Linked DNA regions of Bombyx mori. Each later gene encodes a partner of the first gene's protein in a complex. Links are inferred from orthologs where the notes say so. Each region holds a gene or a part of one and is shown on either strand. Other genes may lie near its edges.

The links.
Region 2: general transcription and DNA repair factor IIH helicase subunit XPD (region 1) and DNA-directed RNA polymerases I, II, and III subunit RPABC4 share a complex: the UniProt entries of both Homo sapiens proteins name them as parts of the TBP-based Pol II pre-initiation complex. The link is inferred for Bombyx mori from reciprocal best matches to the Homo sapiens genes ERCC2 and POLR2K.

What each region holds. Positions count from the first base shown.
Region 1 is NC_085127.1:13,500,456-13,511,437, reverse strand, and holds the start of general transcription and DNA repair factor IIH helicase subunit XPD, read right to left. Parts: upstream 7,446-10,982; 5' UTR 7,272-7,445; coding exon 7,267-7,271; intron 7,196-7,266; coding exon 7,096-7,195; intron 7,006-7,095; coding exon 6,908-7,005; intron 6,833-6,907; coding exon 6,676-6,832; intron 5,783-6,675; coding exon 5,680-5,782; intron 4,223-5,679; coding exon 4,092-4,222; intron 3,517-4,091; coding exon 3,296-3,516; intron 2,747-3,295; coding exon 2,613-2,746; intron 1,864-2,612; coding exon 1,747-1,863; intron 873-1,746; coding exon 632-872; intron 391-631; coding exon 323-390; intron 1-322. Other genes in the region: zinc finger protein ZFP2, read left to right, coding at 7,867-7,974, 8,395-8,529, 9,356-9,727, 10,863-10,982. UniProt on the Homo sapiens protein: ATP-dependent 5'-3' DNA helicase. Component of the general transcription and DNA repair factor IIH (TFIIH) core complex, not absolutely essential for minimal transcription in vitro.
Region 2 is NC_085111.1:12,246,744-12,257,214, reverse strand, and holds DNA-directed RNA polymerases I, II, and III subunit RPABC4, read right to left. Parts: upstream 6,583-10,471; 5' UTR 6,390-6,582; coding exon 6,326-6,389; intron 5,677-6,325; coding exon 5,584-5,676; intron 4,918-5,583; coding exon 4,895-4,917; 3' UTR 4,745-4,894; downstream 1-4,744. Other genes in the region: uncharacterized protein LOC101737452, read left to right, coding at 1-868; uncharacterized protein LOC119628526, read right to left, coding at 7,886-8,554; ARL14 effector protein-like, read left to right, coding at 9,906-9,985, 10,092-10,235. UniProt on the Homo sapiens protein: DNA-dependent RNA polymerase catalyzes the transcription of DNA into RNA using the four ribonucleoside triphosphates as substrates.

The DNA.
Region 1 (10,982 bases):
ACAAATTCATACATGAGTAGTCTTGTCTAAATAGAGAGAACGAAACGTCATGTCATGACTTTAATACGGAAATGATGCGAACAATTTTTGGTTAATCTTAAAATTATAATTCCGGTCCTGTATAAAATATTTCTGTAGTGAAATTGATTGTAACAAATGAGAAAACTATTTCGATGTTATTTTGATTCTGCAACATGCAAGTTTGCTAGACGACTTTTGGTCATTCTCCTTTCATATTTGTCTTACTTGGGTTAATTGAATTTAAGACTCGGAATTGTATATAAAATGTCCTTTTTGAGTTCAAGGATGTGGAGTATTGTACCTGACGTGATGATGACGGTCTGGAACCTCGCGAAGACCGGCCGCATCGCTATTGAGGAGTCCATACATCTGGACAAAAGAGATAGATTACAAATATTATAGTCATTGAGGATTTCTTTCTTCTCAACCATTATAGAAGTTCAACTTCTTTGGGCTAAACGAAATTCGACATTTATCGGGCTTTCGAAGAAAATAGTTATCTATCCTGTCGTTAAAGAAGTTTCACTTCTGCCATGTGACGTGCACTATTTTAGAATTTTAACATTTGCATCACACAAAACATACAACTTACTGATAAGGAAATACTCACGAAAAATGCAATATAGGATTCGAAACATTCGGCGTTTTGTCGTCGAAGGGCTCGATTATGATCGTGAAGCCCTTGGTGTAGGTCGAGACCAGGGTCGCGAGATGCGTGATCAGGACTAGCGATGATAAGTGCGACGGATCCGGTATCTGGAGCGTTCTCATCAGGGAGGCGAGGCGAGATGCGCAGAATCGTAGCGGCTTCCGTTCTATGCACACCCGACTCGATACGTCTTTTAAGAAACCTGTTGATCGTAATTTTACTGGGCATAATGTTCTACTAGACATTCTAGCCATTGTCCCATAATACTGTGCTTATTAATTTCAACATGATGAGAGTCACTTTGCACGAAATTTTCTTCTTTCTTTCCTTATTTTTATTGCCCTCGAAGATAGACGAGCGTACGGCCCACCTACTGGTGGTAGGACCTCTTGTGAGTCCGCCCGGGTAGGTACCACCACCCTGCCTATTTCAGCCGTGAAGCAGTAATGCGTTTCGGATTGAAAGGTGGGACAGCCGTTGTAACTATACTGAGACCTTAGAACTTGTCTCAAGGTGGGTGGCGCATTTACGTTGTAGATTTCTATGGGCTCCAGTAACCACTTAACACCAGGTGGGCTGTGAGCTCGTCCACCCATCTAAATAAAAAAAACCCAATAAAAAAAATTAAAGAAAACCTAATGGTAAGTGGTCACCGTCACTCATGAACGTCAGCAATGCCAGGGACACAAAAAAACCGCTGTCTACCGTTGAGTACTCGTTGTAAGCCTCATTTGACGACATGTCATATCTCATAGCGGATGTCATAGCGATTTCTTTTTCTTTACATCAATTTCTGTTTTTTCCAAGATCTCTGAAATTTACCAATATTATGAATAATGACTTTTTTTAACTAAAGTATTTTCTGCTAACTTTCGTACATATAGAGAAGAACGAGAAGTTAAACTTCTTTATCCTTTATTATTATTATTTAGTACAACACTACCACACTACCACACGGAATACTCATTGAACCCCTTAAATGTGGATATTAACGTTCGCGCCGTGACGATGGGCGTAGCCCGCTATTGCACAGGCAAAAACGGATCAATCAGGACTTCTCCGTAAGTAATGCATACCCGCAGGAGACTCTTGCACCACATGCTGTATGCGCAGTCTGGTCTTCACATATTCGATGAACCGCTTCAGGAAGCTGAGAAAGTGCTCGGCGTTCCTGATGTTACCGGGTACAACCTCTGCAATTATAAACAAAACTATCGATAAGGTGATAAACTATACTAATATATAAATCTACAGTGGTTTTTACGGATTCTCCGTTATAACTACTGAACCGTGCATCCGATTGAGTTGAAACTTGGTATCCATGTAGAAAATACAGGTACTTAATGTATACGCTAATATATATTAGAGTGTTGGACTCCCTAATAATAAAATCGATGAACACCGGCTGCACGCCCGAAAAAGTATCGCGTTCCGCTTGGGCGTGCAAGCGAGAGCGCGGAACAAGCGATAGAAAAGCACTAACTATTGGCCCAAGCGTTGGCTTATGACGCATATAACTCTCTTTTCGCGTGACGTCAGAGCTGGCAGTTCGGATAGTTGTGCTACTGACGTTATCACGTAAAGCTATCGTCCGTATACCGACTTTACAGACAACCATTCGGTCAGCACGGCTGACATACCCTACACACCGGAACACGTTGCTGCTTCGTGACATAAATAGGCAGGGTTCTAGTATTTACCCATACCGGCATTAAGAATTTCAGCATTTCATGTTTGTTATGTGATGTTATTCCTTCTTCAAAGAATTTATTCGTGTACAAGTGTTACACATGTGTACTTAAAACTCCTTACAAAAATATTTAAATCTGCTTGTGGGATAGCTTTTAACTTTTAATATATTTCTAAATAAGTAATACAATTTTAAATGAAACTCTCAGTCAATGAGGTTGTAATTAAAACGTTAGCCATGACAATTGCTCACCGTTCAACACTTCATCGGGTAAAATAGGGTTGCCCAGTATTGTATCAGTCTCCCTCTGTATGGCGGCGTCCTTCAGCCCTGCCACCAGTTGCTCGTACTCCATCGTAAGACGAGCCGCGTCTTCGTCACGAATTCTGTTAAGTTCAAATTTTCTCTTGTGTAATTGGAACCTAAGACTTGTATAATTGTAAAATCTATCTATCTATTGTAAAATCTTTGTAAAAGTCTGTTTTACTTCAATGCGCAAGTAAGATTGTGGTCCACCGGCTGTGAAGTGGTTGACGAGATGGACATCAGGTTACAAATATCTCTGAGGTTCCAATTACCTATAGGAACTATCTATATCTATAGCAGCTCTACCTCATATTAATGACTGCATAAATTCTTTTTGTTTTATTTTTATTTATTGCTTAGATGGGTGGACGACCTCATAGCCCACCTGGTGTTAAGTGGTTACCGGAGTCCATAGACATCTATAACGTATCGTAAATGCGCCACCCACCTTGAGATATGAGTTCTAAGATCTCAGTATAGTTACAACGGCTGCCCAAACCTTCACGGCAGAAATAGGCAGGGTGGTGGTACCTACCCGTGCGATTCAAAAGACGTTCAAAGTTGGTCGTGAGCCCGTCGTCTACCGCACTACAGTAATTAAAAAGGAAAGCAGCTACTTAATTACTCACTCTGCAACAGTCTTCTCAAGTTGCTGTAATGCCTGCGAGCTCTTGTCTATGGTCCGCCTCGTGATCTTCACACTAAGGGAGTCTATACACACGTTGTCTATGTTGTGAGCCTCATCAAACACGACCACCGCCTCCCTGTTCAGTTCCTTCGAGACAACTTCTGCTATTTTTGGATCTAGCAAATAGTGATATGAGTACACCACTATCTCAGCGTGAATTATCTGAAATATACCCGTGATATTGAATTAGATGGGAAGATTAGCTTGCGACCCACCTTATTAAGTTAAATTGTTACCAGAGGTGATAGACACCACACAGTAAATGTAGCAAACCTCAAGACATGAAGTGGAAGTTCTAGTTATTTAACTAGTCACATTAAGACTTCATAGACGAAATAGGTACAACGATAGTCCTCACCTGTGCAGGATAAAAATACTACCATCTTATTGAAATTGATGCTGGCTTAAGTAGTAGTAGATAGCTTTCAGTGAATAGATGAAATATGACAATTATTTTTTATTGAAATACAATACTAAAAACGTCAATTAATTAAAGAGAAATTTAATTAATTAATTAAAGAGAGATTAGTAGAAATTGTAACCAAATATATGTTTGGTAACTAATTAATATAAAAAAAAATTATATTTATATTCACATCGTGGGTGTCTAATCCAATAAGAATCAAAGTCTATGGTTTTTTGTTACCTCATCACAACACGAACTATGACAGTGTAAAATAAAAGTAAATGATAAAAAAATTCAAAACAAATTAAAAATTAATTAAATTACTGCTCACAGCAAATCTCGCAAGAAAATATGGACACCAATTTCTATCAGCACCATATTGTTTCATATCATCCATAGTGTAGACTCCGTATGGTAACATAGACTCTTTGCCTTCACGATTGAAGCCCTCATAAAATTGACCTGCAATAATATTCATTTAGTTCTACAAGTCTAACCAAATATGAGTTTAAGAGGATCTGAATATTTATCCAAAGATCCCCAGGCATATAACCTTTACCAACGTGTTACATAATGCAGCTCCATTGTGAAGTTGTATTATCTCAAGATACATAGCTATTTAAGCCTGTGTCTATGGGGTCACAATGACAAAATACAGTAATAGTTTTTTTATCCACAGTAGCAGGTACAGCCCACAGGATACTGAGCAGTGACTGATGCTTATCGGCATGTGAAATAAATAAATAATCAAGTTGCTACATATAGCGGTTGTAAATATCTTATATCTATGCAAGTCTTTCATATACTAATAAAATACATAATAAGCAAATGTTCTCGATTAACTTCCAAGGTGAAAGAAATAACATTGTGTAATAAAAATAAAAACCGCAAAATTATAATTTGCGTAACTACTGGTGGTAGGACCTCTTGTGAGTCCGCGCGGGTAGGTACCACCACCCCGCCTATTTCTGCCGTGAAGCAGTAATGCATTTCGGTTTGAAGGGTGGGGCAGTCATTGTAACTATACTGAGACCTTAGAACTTTTATCTCAAGGTGGGTGGCGCATTTACGTTGTAGATGTCTATGGGCTCCAGTAACCACTTAACACCAGGTGGACTGTGAGCTCATCCACCCATCTAAGCAATAAATAAAAATAAAAAAACAGATTAATTTAGACATATTTTATATGAGTCGACTATTATCAAAGCCGGCAATCTGACTTTTGGACAATGATTGGTAAATCAGAAAAACGAATTATTGACTTTGTATTCCATTGGCAGTCACAAAACTCTTCTGAACGACATCTTAGATAAATAACAGGTTAAGTATTAACCTTTATTTAATGCAGGTTTTGAACCGTATTCTTTGAAGGAGACGATTATATTCAAATCAATCTGTATTGACATATCAATAGGAGCCTCTGGGTCTGCGGAGGGACTTCGGTTCCCTCTGTATTTTGTACCGTATGTTCCATGGGGAGTGCTCTGAGGAATTGTTCGAGATGATACCAGCATCTCGTTTTTACCATCGCACCGCCCGCCACCGGAGTAGAGTTCATCCATACAACCTGGAGCCACTGCGATCATCCACAGTGCGTTTCCAGAGATCTTTTTTGCCACGTACCATCCGGCTATGGAATGAGCTCCCCTCCATGGTGTTTCCCGAGCGCTATGACATGTCCTTCTTCAAACGAGGCTTGTGGAGAGTATTAAGCGGTAGGCAGCGGCTTGGCTCTGCCCCTGGCATTGCTGAAGTCCATGGGCGACGGTAACCACTCACCATCAGGTGGGCCGTATGCCCGTCTGCCTACAAAGGCAATAAAAAAAAAATAAAAAAAACATATCAATAAAATTTTTTTGTCCAAATGCACAGATTGCCACCTTTGATAATAGACAACTCATATCAAGGCGAGAACTTACAAATTGGCACAGAGCTATCACGTTCATGCCTGTCTCGTATATAGCTTGCTGTGAGGGCATGACATTTGCCATCTACAAGCTTCCCTTCTCTTTCTCTTGATACCTGTTATTAAAAAAAATTACAATAGATTAATTTTTCGATAATATCCTATTAATAAAATAAATTTAAGTATGCATTTTCTCTACGCATTATTTTCAAATGAAGTGATGAGAGGTAATCATATTATTATGTGGTCCACATTATTTATTTGGTGGAAATTTCCCATGATGCCAAAAGTCACCTATAAGTTTAATAATTAACTTAAGTTCTTTAATAAAATTTTGTAGTGCTTTTGTTTCTCTTTGAAATAAATAAATCAAGGGCTTATGAAATAAGAGCTTCGGGAATGAAGTATTTTTTAATTATTTTAATAAGTTTCATGAGGTCTCTTTTTGTTATATATTGTAAATCTTCATTAGTTAAAAATTTCAATTTTTTTTATTTATCTTGCTGTTTCAAACTGGAATCTATGCCCTAGTTCCTTAGGCTGATTACTATTTGAGGAGCACTCAAAAGGAGAAAACAATTTATGATCATTTATGTTTTTCTAGCAGAATGATAAAGCCACAAACATGGCACCTACTTTTTAGGTATTAAATTACGTACAAGTGTTTCATCCAGTATCCTGATACTGAAATTTAGCAATCACAAATCAATAGAGCATGGGTCAAGGGTGGAAGGTTCTAATATTTTTTGTCTATGCATTTGTTACTTAAATTTGTTTTAAAATAATTCCAAAACAAAAGTAGAGCAGAAACTGGGCGTTTTGGACATGACATGAGAGGAGCTAGAACAGACTGCCCAAGACTGATATAAATGGAAGAATTTTATTTGAGCCCTACATCACGGCCTAGGGAAATAGAAAAGAAAGAAGAAGATAATTCCAAAAATATAGTACTAATCATAGATAACAAATGCACAATATTTTTTGTTCAGACTTATAAATTGAAACTTACATCAGGATGAATACATAAGTTTTTCCTGGAACTAAGAACAACTCCTGTTAAGTTCGGTTTCTCTCCTTGAGATTTCTCATAATAATTGAATAAATTCTTTAGTTCTTCTAACACTTTTTCTATTTCTGGCACTGTACGAGAGCAGTAGATTAACTTTCTGAAAAAGTATATGTACATATTTTTTTATAATTAATTAATTTTAATCATTAATGTTCTTGTTCATTTTAATTACCTGACATGATGAGGGTTCTGTATCATATAAGCTACGATTAAAGACAGGAGCGATATGGTTTTTCCGGTTCCGGAAGGCATCTCTAACAATCCATGTCCCTACAAGTTCAAGCAAGATACACAACATAACCTTAAAATTTTAGGATTTTGTTTAAAGTAGATTCCTTTTTTAATACAGATTTTGAATACCTTAGCGTCCAATGCACGTTTTAACTCTAACATATAAGCATACTGTTCCGGATAAATGTAATCGTATGGGAAATAGACCAATAAACCATCGACAGTTAGCCTGAAAAAGTAATGAGATTATTAAATTAATGGTATTTGTTTTTTTTATATATTCATTTATTAGTGACATACTTCATGGTGAAAATATAAGCCCTTCACAACTATCTATTTTAAATAATTATAAACAAACAAGTCAAGCAATACATGAATTAATTAAATAACCACTTTGTTTTGATTCGAGTGACAGACATATATTAAGTGTATAATCTATGTGACAGACTACCACAGAACACTATTACTTGCAGACTACCTACATTAAAAACTAATAATTTTTAATGGCTTTTATAACCTGGTAACTAAGACTTTTAAGTCATGTCTTATTTTAATTTATATAATTATTTTTATGAAAAATGATAAAATGGAGTGAAATGAAATGAAATGATAAATGACCACCATTTTACTGCGATTATATTTCATCCCATATCATCTCATCTCATTTCATTTTATTTCATCCTAGTTGATTAATGTCTCAAAATTATCATCTTGATTTCATTTCACTCCATATTATCATTTTTCATAAAAATAAGAATACCTATAAATTAAAATAAGACATGACCTAAAGGTCTTAGTTACCAGGTCATAAAATCACTTAAAAAAAGTGTAAGAAAGAAAAACACAAATAGTGACAAAATGACAAAATTAACATAGCAAAACATTGTTATTTTGATAATTATGGGGAGCGATACAGTCTGTCGGATCTGTCTGGAATTTAATGTTAAAATGTACAGTTTAAAGTTTTATCCATTGGAGACCTATTATGAAGATATCGTAGAAGTTAACGTAAGTTACATTCATTCGGAAAAGCTATTGTGTTGGATTTGTAACGTTTGACCGGGTTCTAGTTTGTATAGGAATTGAATTTGGTTTTTGTAATATTTAATAGTGAATTAAACAGTTTGTCATAATAATGATATTCCGTGAAAAGTAAATGCAACTTCTAAGATAAAAACAACAATTCTAACCTCAAATCCCGTAGAGCACGAATAATTATAAACTAGTAGATAGGTCGGCCTTTTTTTTACTGTCCTACATTGTTCCAATTTTCAATAAAAAAACGTGTATCAAAACAAAAACATGTGTATTTAAAAAAAAAAAATTATAATACCTTATTTGGATTCGCTGCTTGCTGCTTAATTGCTTTGGGATTATAATTGTTTATTCATACTTTGTTAATTGACGATGTTTTTATTTATTTTGCAGCCCGAATGTTCTCCAGATCTACCACAGTGTGTATGTTATCTTTGTGCAGGATTATTGAAAAAGTATAGCAGATTTAAAAGTAAATGCTTAGTTGCACAATCCTTATTTTATAAAATACTAAAGTCTGGTAAAAAGGTAATATTAGATTTTGTTCAAACCTTTTGTTAGACATTTTTATAAGTATAGGATGCATATTCTTTGGATCGTAGAAGTTAGTGCTATGATTTGTTCTAGCTTTTTCTCTCTGCTGAACAAAAATATAATCAAATATAAGTTTAACTAACTGTAGATCTAAAATTGGGAAACTAGACAAAACTAAATTACATAAAATTATTCAATTATGAAATATTAAATATAAATTATTAAAAAATGTGTGTCAAATCATGCTGATTATTCTAACTGAATTGGTGTCATATTATGGAAACAATCCTAACACATGCTCACAAAAGATTTCCAAGGATTAATTACGTGATAAAATAATAAATAAATCCACACATACTAAAAACCTTCCTTCCTTTTGTGTTTTCTAGAGATCTTTTAACAGTAAACAAACTGCTTGTAATGAATTCATTAAACTTTTTTTTGTTATAGCTTAGATTGGTGGATGAGCTTAAGGCCCACCTGGTGTGGTTGCCGGAGCTTATAGACATCTACAACGTAAATGCGCCACCCGCCTTGAGATATGAGTTCTAAGGTCTCAGTATAGTTACAACGACTGCCCTACCCTTCAGACCGAAACACATTACTGCTTCACGGCAGATATAGTCAGGGTGATGGTACCTACCAGTGCCGACTCACAAGAGGTTCTACCTCTAACTAAGCAATAAAAAAAGCATCATCATGTTTCAAGATAGTTGATGGCTTTCATGCTGTTTGTTATGTCTATGGACTACCATTACCACCTAACACCAGGAGCTAGTTTATAATTAAAACAAATAAAAAGAGCAAGAATGTTTTGCAGGTCAATATTGAATCAGTAAAATCATTAGATAAACACTATTTGAAAAAATCATTGACTATTTATACTGAAACGGATGTCACACCAACAGACTTATTCCACAACGATTCTCCTACAGAATATTTGGACATTCCAGCTGATGATAATATTATTATAGAAAATGAAGACTCATTAGAAATAAATGAAACAAATTCAGAAGACTATTGCAATATTGAATACCTAAGCGATGAAGATTATAGTGACTTACAATCTCAGTTGGATTCTAAAGAACTATCGTTGGTACATTTACAAGAAGAAATTAATACCAATAGTAATCTGAGCGAAAATGACATCAAAATTGAGGCTGTATCGAGTAGAGAATTCCAATTTGTTGATGTGAGTGTTATTAAGTGTAAATTGCTGGTGGTAGGGTAGCATGATCTTTTGATCTCACATGTCAAGATCAACGGGAATATTTCATGCAGAGATGTTTACGGACTTAGGTTATAAATTCATACCGTCTGAGCACATTCACTAATATATGCAAAGAACTCATAGATTTTACATATAGTTTTGTTTTTACTGGTTCATAGATTTTATTCATAAACTTATAAGGTTTAAAACCATAATTTATTTATTTATTTATTTATTACAGTCTTACAAACTAAAAGTTGAACCAAAACATTTGTAACATAACACATGTAAAGTGATAACTGATACTTATAAAGAGCTCCAGGTTTTGTTCTGAAGTTTACAGATATTTAGTTCACTCATATATGAGTACATTCTACATACACATACCTAAAACATAATATTTTCCCTTTGGTTCCTACTGAGACTAAAATCTTTTAAGGATGAGATTCTTCTATGATGTGGTCAGAATTGAGAGTGGACTGCTATACCCAAATTGAACCCATAACGGCCTTAATTAAAACTACTTTAATATTATTTTCCTTACAACACATACGGCACTCACCACTAAATTGTAAAGTATTTGAGTTGCTTAAAATTATATAATGACACAATGACCAGGCTCTGCTGCTGTGCAAAGAGTGAGAGTAAGTGTTCTAGAATATTAGATACTTCAGGTTTCTTGTAATTTACTCGTACTCTGTTCAAAGTCCGTACTCGGTGCTGAGTTATTATTTTAATTAGTGAAATATAAATTTAAGCACACATGTTGGGTAACATGTTAGTTAATTGTGTATTGATGTTATATCTATACAGCACTTAGTAATCCTTTTTAATGAAAAGGACAATAAATACCAGCACTAATACACTACACCAGTCTTATTAAATTAATAAAATAATCGAGAAAATATTCATTAAAGATCAAACATTCGTATCATCTATTGTTGATTAAAATGCTTCATAATTATGTAAAATTTTCGTATTCCATTCATCAATTACAAAAATAGCCGACTTAACCTAATAAGTGTATGGCTCTAATAAAGATTAAAAAAAAATCCAATTATTTCGTATATATAAAACCTTACCTACTTAACTGTATCAATTCTATAAAATATTCCAGACAATCGATGATATATCGTCATCACCATCAGAGAAAATTGGAGTTAAACAACCGAAGCGGATTAGTAAATCTAATATTTCTAAAACAGATTCTGAATATCCTATGGAAAAAATTAGAAGG
Region 2 (10,471 bases), on another chromosome or scaffold:
TCAATCAGAAAACTTCGGTGAAGAAAAAAATGGCGATGATATCTTAAAATCTGATGAATTTTCAGATTCAGAAACCATGAAGTCATCATCGATATTGGAACATGATTCTGTTGCGACAAAAGTCGTAATTGGTGTGGGTGGCGTGGCTTTTAAGGTTACTAAAGGCAAAGAACTTGAAAGTTCTTCATATCCCCCTGGCAGAATCATGGAAGACGGATGCAGAGATTGCAATTTTTGTAATAAGACATTTACGAAACCTTCACAGCTACGGTTGCATCTAAATATTCATTACATGGAAAGGCCCTTTAGATGTAGTATATGTGCCGTGAGCTTTCGCACACGGGGTCATTTACAAAAACACGAACGGTCTGCTTCACATCACAACAAAATATCAATGACTTCAACATTCGGGGCAGCAACGTCGTTTAATCCCAGACCGTTTAGATGCTCCGACTGTAATATAGCGTTCCGAATTCATGGACATCTTGCTAAACACTTAAGAAGTAAAATGCATGTTATGCGTTTAGAGTGTTTGTTTAAATTACCTTTTGGTACATTCACCGAGATTGAACGCGCCGGTGTTAGTTTGACAGATATAGACACAACAGATTGTGATAGTTCGCTGGCTAGCTTGCAATTGCTCGCAAGGAAGCTTCACGAAAAAGATCCAACAAAATTGGAATATCGAGATCCTAACGGTCTAACAATAGTAGAACTACCTGCAGGCAGGGAACTGTCGGAAGACGAAGATAACACACCCGCCGATAACGCATGTGTTAGTGAAAAAAACAGTAATGGAAAAACAAGTGAAGGTAATGAAGATCAAGAAATGGAAACACGTGTTAACTGTAGTGCCACAGATATTTAGTGCCAAAATTATATTACGTACATAGTGTATTTTAATGTGCAGTTTTATTTTGTTTTTAATTTAAGTGTAATTATTAAAGCTGGGGTTACTCAGATTCGTGTGAAAACAATTGTACGCTTTAAGATTGTAACATACTCTAACATTAAAAATTCGAAAAATATTAATATGTATCTTGTAAATATCTCCACGTAATATTAAATTTGTTAAATTTGCTTTTAATGTAAGTCTTATTATGTATTAATACTGTTATTTGTAATTTCTACAGAGATAATATTTGTTGAATTGTATTTGAAAACGAAGACCTAGATGGGATATATTATTGCGACAGAAAAAAAAGAGGTCCACATTTTTTAAACTACGCTTAAATATCAGTCAAACATATTACATTGTCATAGGAGTAGTCGGATGATATATAGAATAGAACAGCACTTTTGTATGAATTTTTGTATGACATATTTACCACTTCATATTTATACTATGTAACTACTACTTCCATAAATTTAAAACAATTGGCATATCAACTTCCATACACTAAACGTAGATATGAATAAAAAACAAAAATGTCTTCCATAAAAATGTACGGAAATAAATTGAATTTAGTTTCTTTAAAGTTATAATCAATTTGTATACATGTTTAAGCTGGGCTCTCCGATTTAAAAAAATTATATTAATAGTAGTATAGTTTTGATTCCTACTATTATGCATTACTATTATTCATTTAATTTTTATAGTCCAATGTAAAAATAATTATTAGTGTGAATGATCAATGATCTGCATGTTTTGTCTTTTTTGTAAGGGATAGGTTACAGAGCCTAGTTTTTTATATATAATGTACTGTTATTTGAAAAGTATATATATATTCATTGTTAAACTATTTTTCTAGAAATTAAGCTTTATGGCGCTAATATGAAATTAAGCTTCATTGAAGCTGCAGACCACAAGCTGTTCGAAAATATCACTATTAATAATACCAATCAAATCAAATTCAAATTTTTAAAATATATGATATCATCATTATGTTTCTTTATTGTAGTATATATATGTCTTATATTGTTATATAATATATTGTATAAACTATTTTAATAACGATGTAGATTTACAATAACATTTTTACAATATTTTCGAACTGGGTTGCTGCACTGCGCCTTATACTACTATTGTACTATACCATATTGGAATATCAATTTTCAAAAACAAACTACTTAGTTATTTTTGTAAATATCTTGTGTCTGATCATATCACGGGACTGTCATAATTATTAAGGTACAAAATGTATTTAAGTACCACCATAATAAATAACTATCTATTAAAATATATATGTACATAATCGATAAAAACCTAAATCTACCATTATGATCAAGAAGCTTATAGCAACAGAAAGGCATCGACGCTAATCAATGATTTATAATTATAGGCTCCTAATTCTAAAACTTATACAAAAAATCTGCTATACGTTTTAATTGAAAAAACTGTTGAAATAGACATTCAAGCGGAAACGATAAATCGTATCAGTCTCGAGAGGCGACATAAAGTGCGGTAAATAAAAAAATAAATATTTTAAACAAAATAACATGCATACTTAAATAATTCACATCTACAAATAATGTTTCTAATATTAATCCAATTCCGGATTGGCATGAAAGAAAAATGATAATATTCAATATAATTTCAATTGAATGCCTATTTACTGGTATTGTCATTATTCACATTATTTTAAATCATACATGATCCATCCTTTCATCTCTCATTACAGACGGGACTCTATCAATTTTACTTGCCCTTGTTTACCATTACTTATAAGATCAAACCGTTTACAATTTAAATAACAAAATCAAAATTCGATATGTTACTCAAAAATGTGATCCGACGTTATAATTCTCGCACTATCCAATAAAATTGTTTCCAATTCTTTGCTATTCCATTGTTGTGCGAGCGGCTCTTTTTCCATTTAAGCCAGTGTGCTTAGTGCGAGTTTTTTTAACGTTCTCGATAGCGTAAAAGTTAGGTCATATTTGTATGGAATGGGATCGCTTGCGTACGTTTGCCGCTAGGGGCGGTTCCAATTGCATACAAAATTGGCTTAACTTTTACGTTATCGAGAACGTTCAGAAGCTCGCACTAAGCACACAGGTGGCCTGTAAGCGGTCTTATCTACAATAATAAGTTGTTCTAACTGATTAAATCCATCTAATAAAATTTCAATGGTTCGGTACTAAACGTTTCATATTAAACGTCCCCAAGCTAGGGTTTTCCCCTTTGTTATAATGGGTGCTTGAAAGTTAAACATGACAAATGTATGTACATTTAGTCCTCGAATGCCAAATGTTTTTAATGAAGAAGCTGACTTCGAATTTAAAGAGGACTCTGTGATACAATAGGTAGCTAAAGTCAACTCTACTAATTCAGCAAAGCCATAAATACATATTTAAATGCGTATTTTACAGAATACAAATAGCTCATTTCCATATTAGTTTTTCAATGAAATTATCTCCTCTGTTAGCCACTAGTATGATTTTAAATAAATACATAATTATTATTTTCAAAACACTTGCGAATAGAAATATAAGCTTTTTAAAGATAATCATTTAGTTATTTCAAGTTTAAAATGATTTTTAATTGATATTTTTCTATGTAATTTTTATATTTCAACTACCGATAAATTGAAATTTATTACGTCATCTGTATAGTTCTCTAATTGGGACATAATATAAATTCGAGACAGAACATGTAAAGTTACTTGATCATAAACTGTCATGATTTTGTATTTTGTTTCCAAGAATGTTATTTGTATGTGCTATAAACTTTTTGATTATGATTAGTGAGTTGGTAACTATAGAATGGAATTAAATCTCTTTATTCAAATTTTCTTTATGCATGTGTATACCCATAGCATGTTTATATTCACTATTATATAACGTAAGCAAAAAGTTGACTTAGAGGAATGTGTGAAAAATTAAATTTGATATTAATGTCGTGAGTCCTAACAATTATTTATTGATAGTTTTTATGGATCGAAAAAAAATGTATATTTGTGGCTATTGTAAAATTTTAGACATACATTTTCTGGTGTTTTATTATGAGAGGTAATAATTTTAATAAATTGTTAAAACTTTATAATGATGAAGTTACATAATTAAAATACACTGAGATATTTCCCTTTTGTTTTTTTTATTAGTTGTTATTATTTAACGGAAGTTTTACGAAAGTACTCCATATTGACACTTTGCGTCTGGCGCCACTAGCGGTGTCGTGTGCAAAACTGGCCAACGGTCACACGTAAATGCCGCCACCCATGTTTACGATTAAAGGAATAACATCGTGTAATGAAAATCAAACCCGCAAAATTATAATTTGCGTAATTACTGGTGGTAGGACCTCTTGTGAGACCGCGCGGGTAGGTACCACCGCCCTGCTTATTTCTGCCGTGAAGCAGTAATGCGTTTCGGTTTGAAGGGTGAAGCAGCCGTTGTAATTATACTTGAGACCTTAGAACTTTATCTCAAGGTGGGTGGCGCATTTACGTTGTAGATGTCTATGGGCTCCAGTAACCACTTAACACCTGGTGGGCTGTGAGCTCATTCACCCATCGAAGCAATAAAAAAAAAAGATAATGAACTCATTTGATATCTATCTATAAAGTTACATATTTTTCTTGCACTTAAGTCTTTTTTTTTTAAGGCAGTAGTTCATTTAGAAACATCAAATAAGTTGATTGATACTTCAAATCATTCAGATTACTTATATCTATTGGGTACAATTTAGAACACATATATCATGGCGGTAGGTGGCATTCATGTTTTAATGTCTATGGGCTACCACCAGTATATAATGTAAAGTGATGATGTAGATCTATAAATCTACTATAAAAAAACTACCTTGTATATATTTTTTTTCATTGGTCAGTATTATTAGAGCATAGACAAAGTAACAAAAATACACATTAACCTTATTATAAATTTATTTCACTCTTCTGTGCATGATGTATCCACCGAACTTATCTTCTAGGGTTTTGTTTCCAGAATTCGTTTACCGAGCGTCAAACACAACCACTGAATTCTTACTTAAGGAAAATTTTTCAGAATATTACGAACAAAAATATGATGAATTTAAAATCAACACAAACTACAAAAAGGGTAATTTTCTGAAGATTTTAACAGATATGAGTCGTCTATTATCAAAGGTGGCAATCTGTACATTTGGACAATTTTTTTTTATTGATATGTCAATACAGATTTATTTGAATATAATCGTCTCCTTCAAAGAATACGGTTCAAAACCTGCATTAAATAAAGGTTAATAGTTAACCTGTTATTTATCTAAGATGTCGTTCCGAAGAGTTTTGTGACTGCCAATGGAATACAAAGTCAATAATTCGTTTTTCTGATTTACCAATCATTGTCCAAAAGTCAGATTGCCGCCTTTGATAATAGTCGACTCATTTATTACATTTATTTTCTTGCAAGCTCAATGTGATCTAAAGGATAAAACAGATGGTGTAGTTGTGTCAAGCTGTGCAACCATGCAAATGTGCAAATTGCATATACCAATATCCAAAGAAATATACTCTCGAAATGTGATCACGAATCACTTCCACAATGAAGGAATTAAATATGGGTGATACCTGTCAATACCTTTCTACTGATTAAAATCACTAGGCTGTATCCTAGTCCTATAATCTTTACTTTAAGAATATATTTATAGAATCAAAAGGATACGTCTTTTTGTTCTTTTCTTGTACATTATTCTGTAACCACATTCTCTGCACCTAATAGGATCTCTTGGTTTGATTTCATTCTCTTTGTGACATTCTGAAAATGATAATGAAAGCATCATTTGTTTTGCAGACCCATATTATAGTTTCAGGATTGCATTTATTAAAGAAACCAACATTTAAACAGTTGAAGTAGATGATCGGCAAAAACAATAATGTAGAAAAGGGCAAACAATATAATTTACTCTCAATTGAATCAATTTCATTTTTCTAATACTTTTAAGTTTAGGTTTTTTAAATTTTAATATTAATATTAACAAGTTTTATTAAAAGCACTTAAGCTTTTACGGCTTTTAGCTTTACTAAAGAACATTTATATTTATACAGATGCATTCCCCATTTGAAATATAGTAAAACAATAACACATTAAACAAAACGCCTTAATTTATACAATGTTATAAGACAGTGTGAATAATTTTATAATCTACTATACACAAAAGACAAATTAACTGATTTATTAATTCTTTGTTTAGTAGACATTGACAAGCTTAGTGTTATCGGTAAGAACATTTTAAAAGTAGTTTCTTTCTTTTTTCTATAAAAAATGTTCATAAATCAAGAGAAAAAGAAATACAAAAAAAATATTCAATTATTGGGGTATGCTGATACCTAACAATTATTAGGTTATTTTGTGTTAGTGTTTTACAAAGTGATAGAAGTTTTGTTATTATTTGGTTACACTGTACCTCCACAAACATATATCATTGGCACTTTAGTAACTGATTGCTCTTTCCCAGTTGTGTCAGCCATTATGTGCTAAAATAGAGAAAAATTAAATAATAATAAAAAATGTGTTTTATTTTAAATCACCAATTTGATTTAAGCTTTATATTAAGTGTATAATCTATGCTTTGGATTGTTATTTTGTGTGTAGAATCTATGGTTTTTGGATTTGTTTAATTAAGCCGCAAAGGGAACTTAAACCATAAAACGTTTTGTTCAAAAGAGGGCTTGTCTTGTTGAAGAAAAAAATACGTAAAAAAAGGAGTGGAAATTTAAAAGAAAAAATCATCGGGACATTGGAGGGGAACCGAGGATTATTTTTAATTATTTGTTCGTCGTTTGATCGTCAATGTTTGAATGTAAAATTATCTGTTCGTCTTTTATTTATTTATAATTAATTAAACAAATGATCACCCTTCAGTTGGCCCCTCTTACTAGATATCTTTGTTTTTATTGCTCAGATTAATTAATTTTGATCAATTATTGTTTGTTCGACGACTATTGGTGATTGTTCGATCATAAAAACAAGTAAATTCGAAATTATTAATTATTTTATATCTAATAAGCAAATTATCACCTCACGCCTACATTGCGCATGCGCCGGTTTTGTCAGTCAGATGGCAATGGCCGACGGCCGTATTTACTACCTTTTTGTTACGCGCGAACATTAACGAACAAACGACGAACAAATAATTAAAAATTAAAAAAATCGAAAATTAAAAAAGGGGACCAAATTCAGTGAGCCGTAAAGCAAATAAATGGCATATTTTTTTACATTTTATTTATGGATTGAGTTAGCTAATCTGTGCATTAAGCTCCCAAACATAGAAAAACAGACTTTTTGGCGGGAACGCGAGGAGTGATATTGTGTGATTTGTTATATTTTGTCTATTTAGTGTTTCTTCGGGTTTAAATGTGTAATAATGGTGGTTTATTAGCAGTTTAATATCTGTGAAAGTGCACAAATGTGGGAAAATGGAACAAAGCCGCTGGACGTAACTTCTCGGGATCCTCCAAAAAGTCCACTGAAAAATCTTAGTAAATGACCACCATTTTACTGAGATTATATTTCATCCCATATTTTCTCATTTCATTTCGTTTTCATTTCATTTCATGCCATGTTTCACAATAATCAACTTCATTTCATTTAATAATATCATTTTTCATATAAAAAAGTTATCATTAAAATTAAAATAAGACTTGACCTAAAGGTCTTAGTTACCAGGTCATAAAATCCCTTAAAAAAACAAACATAGTAAACAAAGAAATAAATATTTTTTCATTTTTTTCCCTACCTGCACCTGCCTATTCGCTTAATACTCGGCAAACTTCTTGAGCATTAGTTGACGTAGTGGGGGTAAGTTCGCGCATCGTACAATTACGTACAAAAATGTTAAGTTATTAAAAACAACATAATATGTATTTATTTATATATTTATTAGTACATGAACAAAAAATACAGGTTAATAATTGTAGTAATTTAATCTAGGGGTAAAATAGATATTCCTTCCATTAGGTCAAAACTAGGAGCTGGTGCCAGGTCTTGGATCAGCTGAAGCTGAGCTGGTATTTTTAATTGTTTTTTCGCTATCATAATCATGACCATCATCATCATCATCACTACTTTCTTCATCCGTGTCGCAATCATCGTCAGCAAAAATTACAAACTCATCAGTGACTAAATCTACCACATGATCACTTTTTACATACTCCGCCTCAATATCTTTTATCTTTTGACATATTCTACCCCATTCCGGAGCACCCATCACCGCGACCTTTTCCTTCACTAGCTCTATTACTTTGCCAGTGCTCCAGTCGACATTTTTGCTACTGACATACCCTTTAATAGCTGCCCAAGCCATTTCAATTGGGTTGAGGTCTGGATGGTATGGAGGTAAGCGAAGCACTGAATGGTTGTGGTTTGATAAAATTTTATCAATGCTGTATGTTTTGTGTTGTTCCTTATGTGCTTTAATCAAGCTAAAAAGCTGGGGTTTCAACATGTTTTCATCGTATGGAATTTCTTTTTCTTGTAACCATTTCTTCATATAGACTTTTTTGGCATTGGCAGTTGGAGCGGGGTCAGACTGTTTATAGTGATATGACGCATTGTTGACTACTACAACGGAATTTGGTGGCAGATTTGGTAGCAATTGACAACGCAGCCATTTTTCGTAGTTCAAATAGTTCATGTTATCGTGGTAGTCACCAGATTTTGTGCCAGCTTTAAACAAAAGAAGGGCATTGGGAACAAATCCATCTTCGGAGCCAGCATGCACTATTACTACACGCTGTCCTTTCGAAATTGGTTTTTTTAAACCCCCAGTTGATCCATCTGACCACGACATACCACTTGCATGTGATGAGTCGACATAGGACTCATCGGTGTACACTATCGGTCTTCCTTCTTGCCTATATTTAATTATTTTTTGGAGATATTCGATCCTTAGTAGTCGAATATTACTTTTTTCAATTAATAGCTTCCGATTATTTTCTGTTCTTTTCCATCTGAAGCCTAGCTCTTTCATAATTCGTCGTAAACTTCGTTCCGAGCCATTAAAATTTATATCTTCTTTCAATTTTTTACGAAGTCTTTCGACGGTAGGAAGTTCGCTGTTTGTTATGTGATAATTATGAATACATCTTTTTATTGCAGATTGGTCGAAACTATCAATTCCGGTAACTTTCTTCTTCCCTGATCTTTTTTTACCTGGAGTACGAAACACGGCGAGCAAGTTAGAGCCCTTCGCTTCATTAATAATACGCCTAACAGTACTGACTGATGTTTTTGTTGCCTCTGAAGTCTCTTTTACCGTTTCCATATCATTATTTCCCTGCTTTTTAAGAAAGCAATATACGTCGTACACCATTTTTCTAGCTTGTCTTTTTAATACTACACCAGTTTGACGTGGCATAGTATATTTTTTATAAAAAATCAAGAAACACTCAACAAATAGCAATAACAACAAAATCAACAAACAATAATAATTATAACAAATAACTTCAACGATTAATATTAATAGACTTTTCACTGTACGCAAGCGTACTTTTGGGAGCAAGCGGAACGAGTCTCAAATATATTAAGTGTATAATCTATGGGAACGAGGGCGCGGTGCGGGACGCAAGGTTCGACTGATCTACCAACAACGCGCTCGATACGATTTCCCCTGCCGTCGCGCCTCACCCTCACCACCAAAGTGATCTAAAATTCGGTTCTGCGCAGTCAAGGTCATTTGCTCACAAAGTTTACCGCATAGAGTAAGATTATATATTGTTTACCGGTTACAGCTGGCTATTTCAGCTTCTCAGTACTTCTCACCGACGGGTAGGTGAGCTCACCTCACTAGCTAAACCTGAGAGAATTTGCTAACACTAGGCCTAACAAAAATAGTCGCAGAATTCGCAGAATCTTCCACCGGATAAATATATAATAATAAATAATAATAATAATAAATTAAATATCGTTTGTATTCGGGTAATAACGCGCGGAAGAGAATATTTTTTTAATATTATTTTGTGTTTGTAGCATGTACTTTTTAAAAGATGCGTTTCTTAGATAATTTTGATCCTAAAAATTCAGCTCGTGAACGTAGAAAAGCAAACAGGAAAAAATATTTCACTTCGTAAGTTGAAACAATTTCTATTCTATTGAATCCGTTCAAGTCTGAATTTGTAATATATATAAATATATTTTCATCAATTTAATAGTCAATATTTCTAATGTTGCAGTCGAAAAGTGAAGAGAATTTATGATGACCACGGTCATATTGCTGAAACTGGCAAAGACTTGTGTGATTGCCTCGATGAGAAGTGTCCCGGATGCCATTTTCCATGTGCAAACTGCAATTCCAATAAATGTGGCCATGAGTGCAGGTATAAACAATATATTAATTTTAAACAATAATTAATCTTTCAAAATAATCATGGATATCAGATAGAGATAAATGCTGTGGTACAACACTTATTACTGGTTGTAGGACGTCTTAGAAGTCCACACGGGAAGGTACCACCACCCTGCCTATTTCTGCTGTGAAGCAGTAGGTAATGCGTTTTGGTTTGAAGGGTATGACAGCTTTTGTACTGTTAAAAGTGAGACCTTAGAACTCATG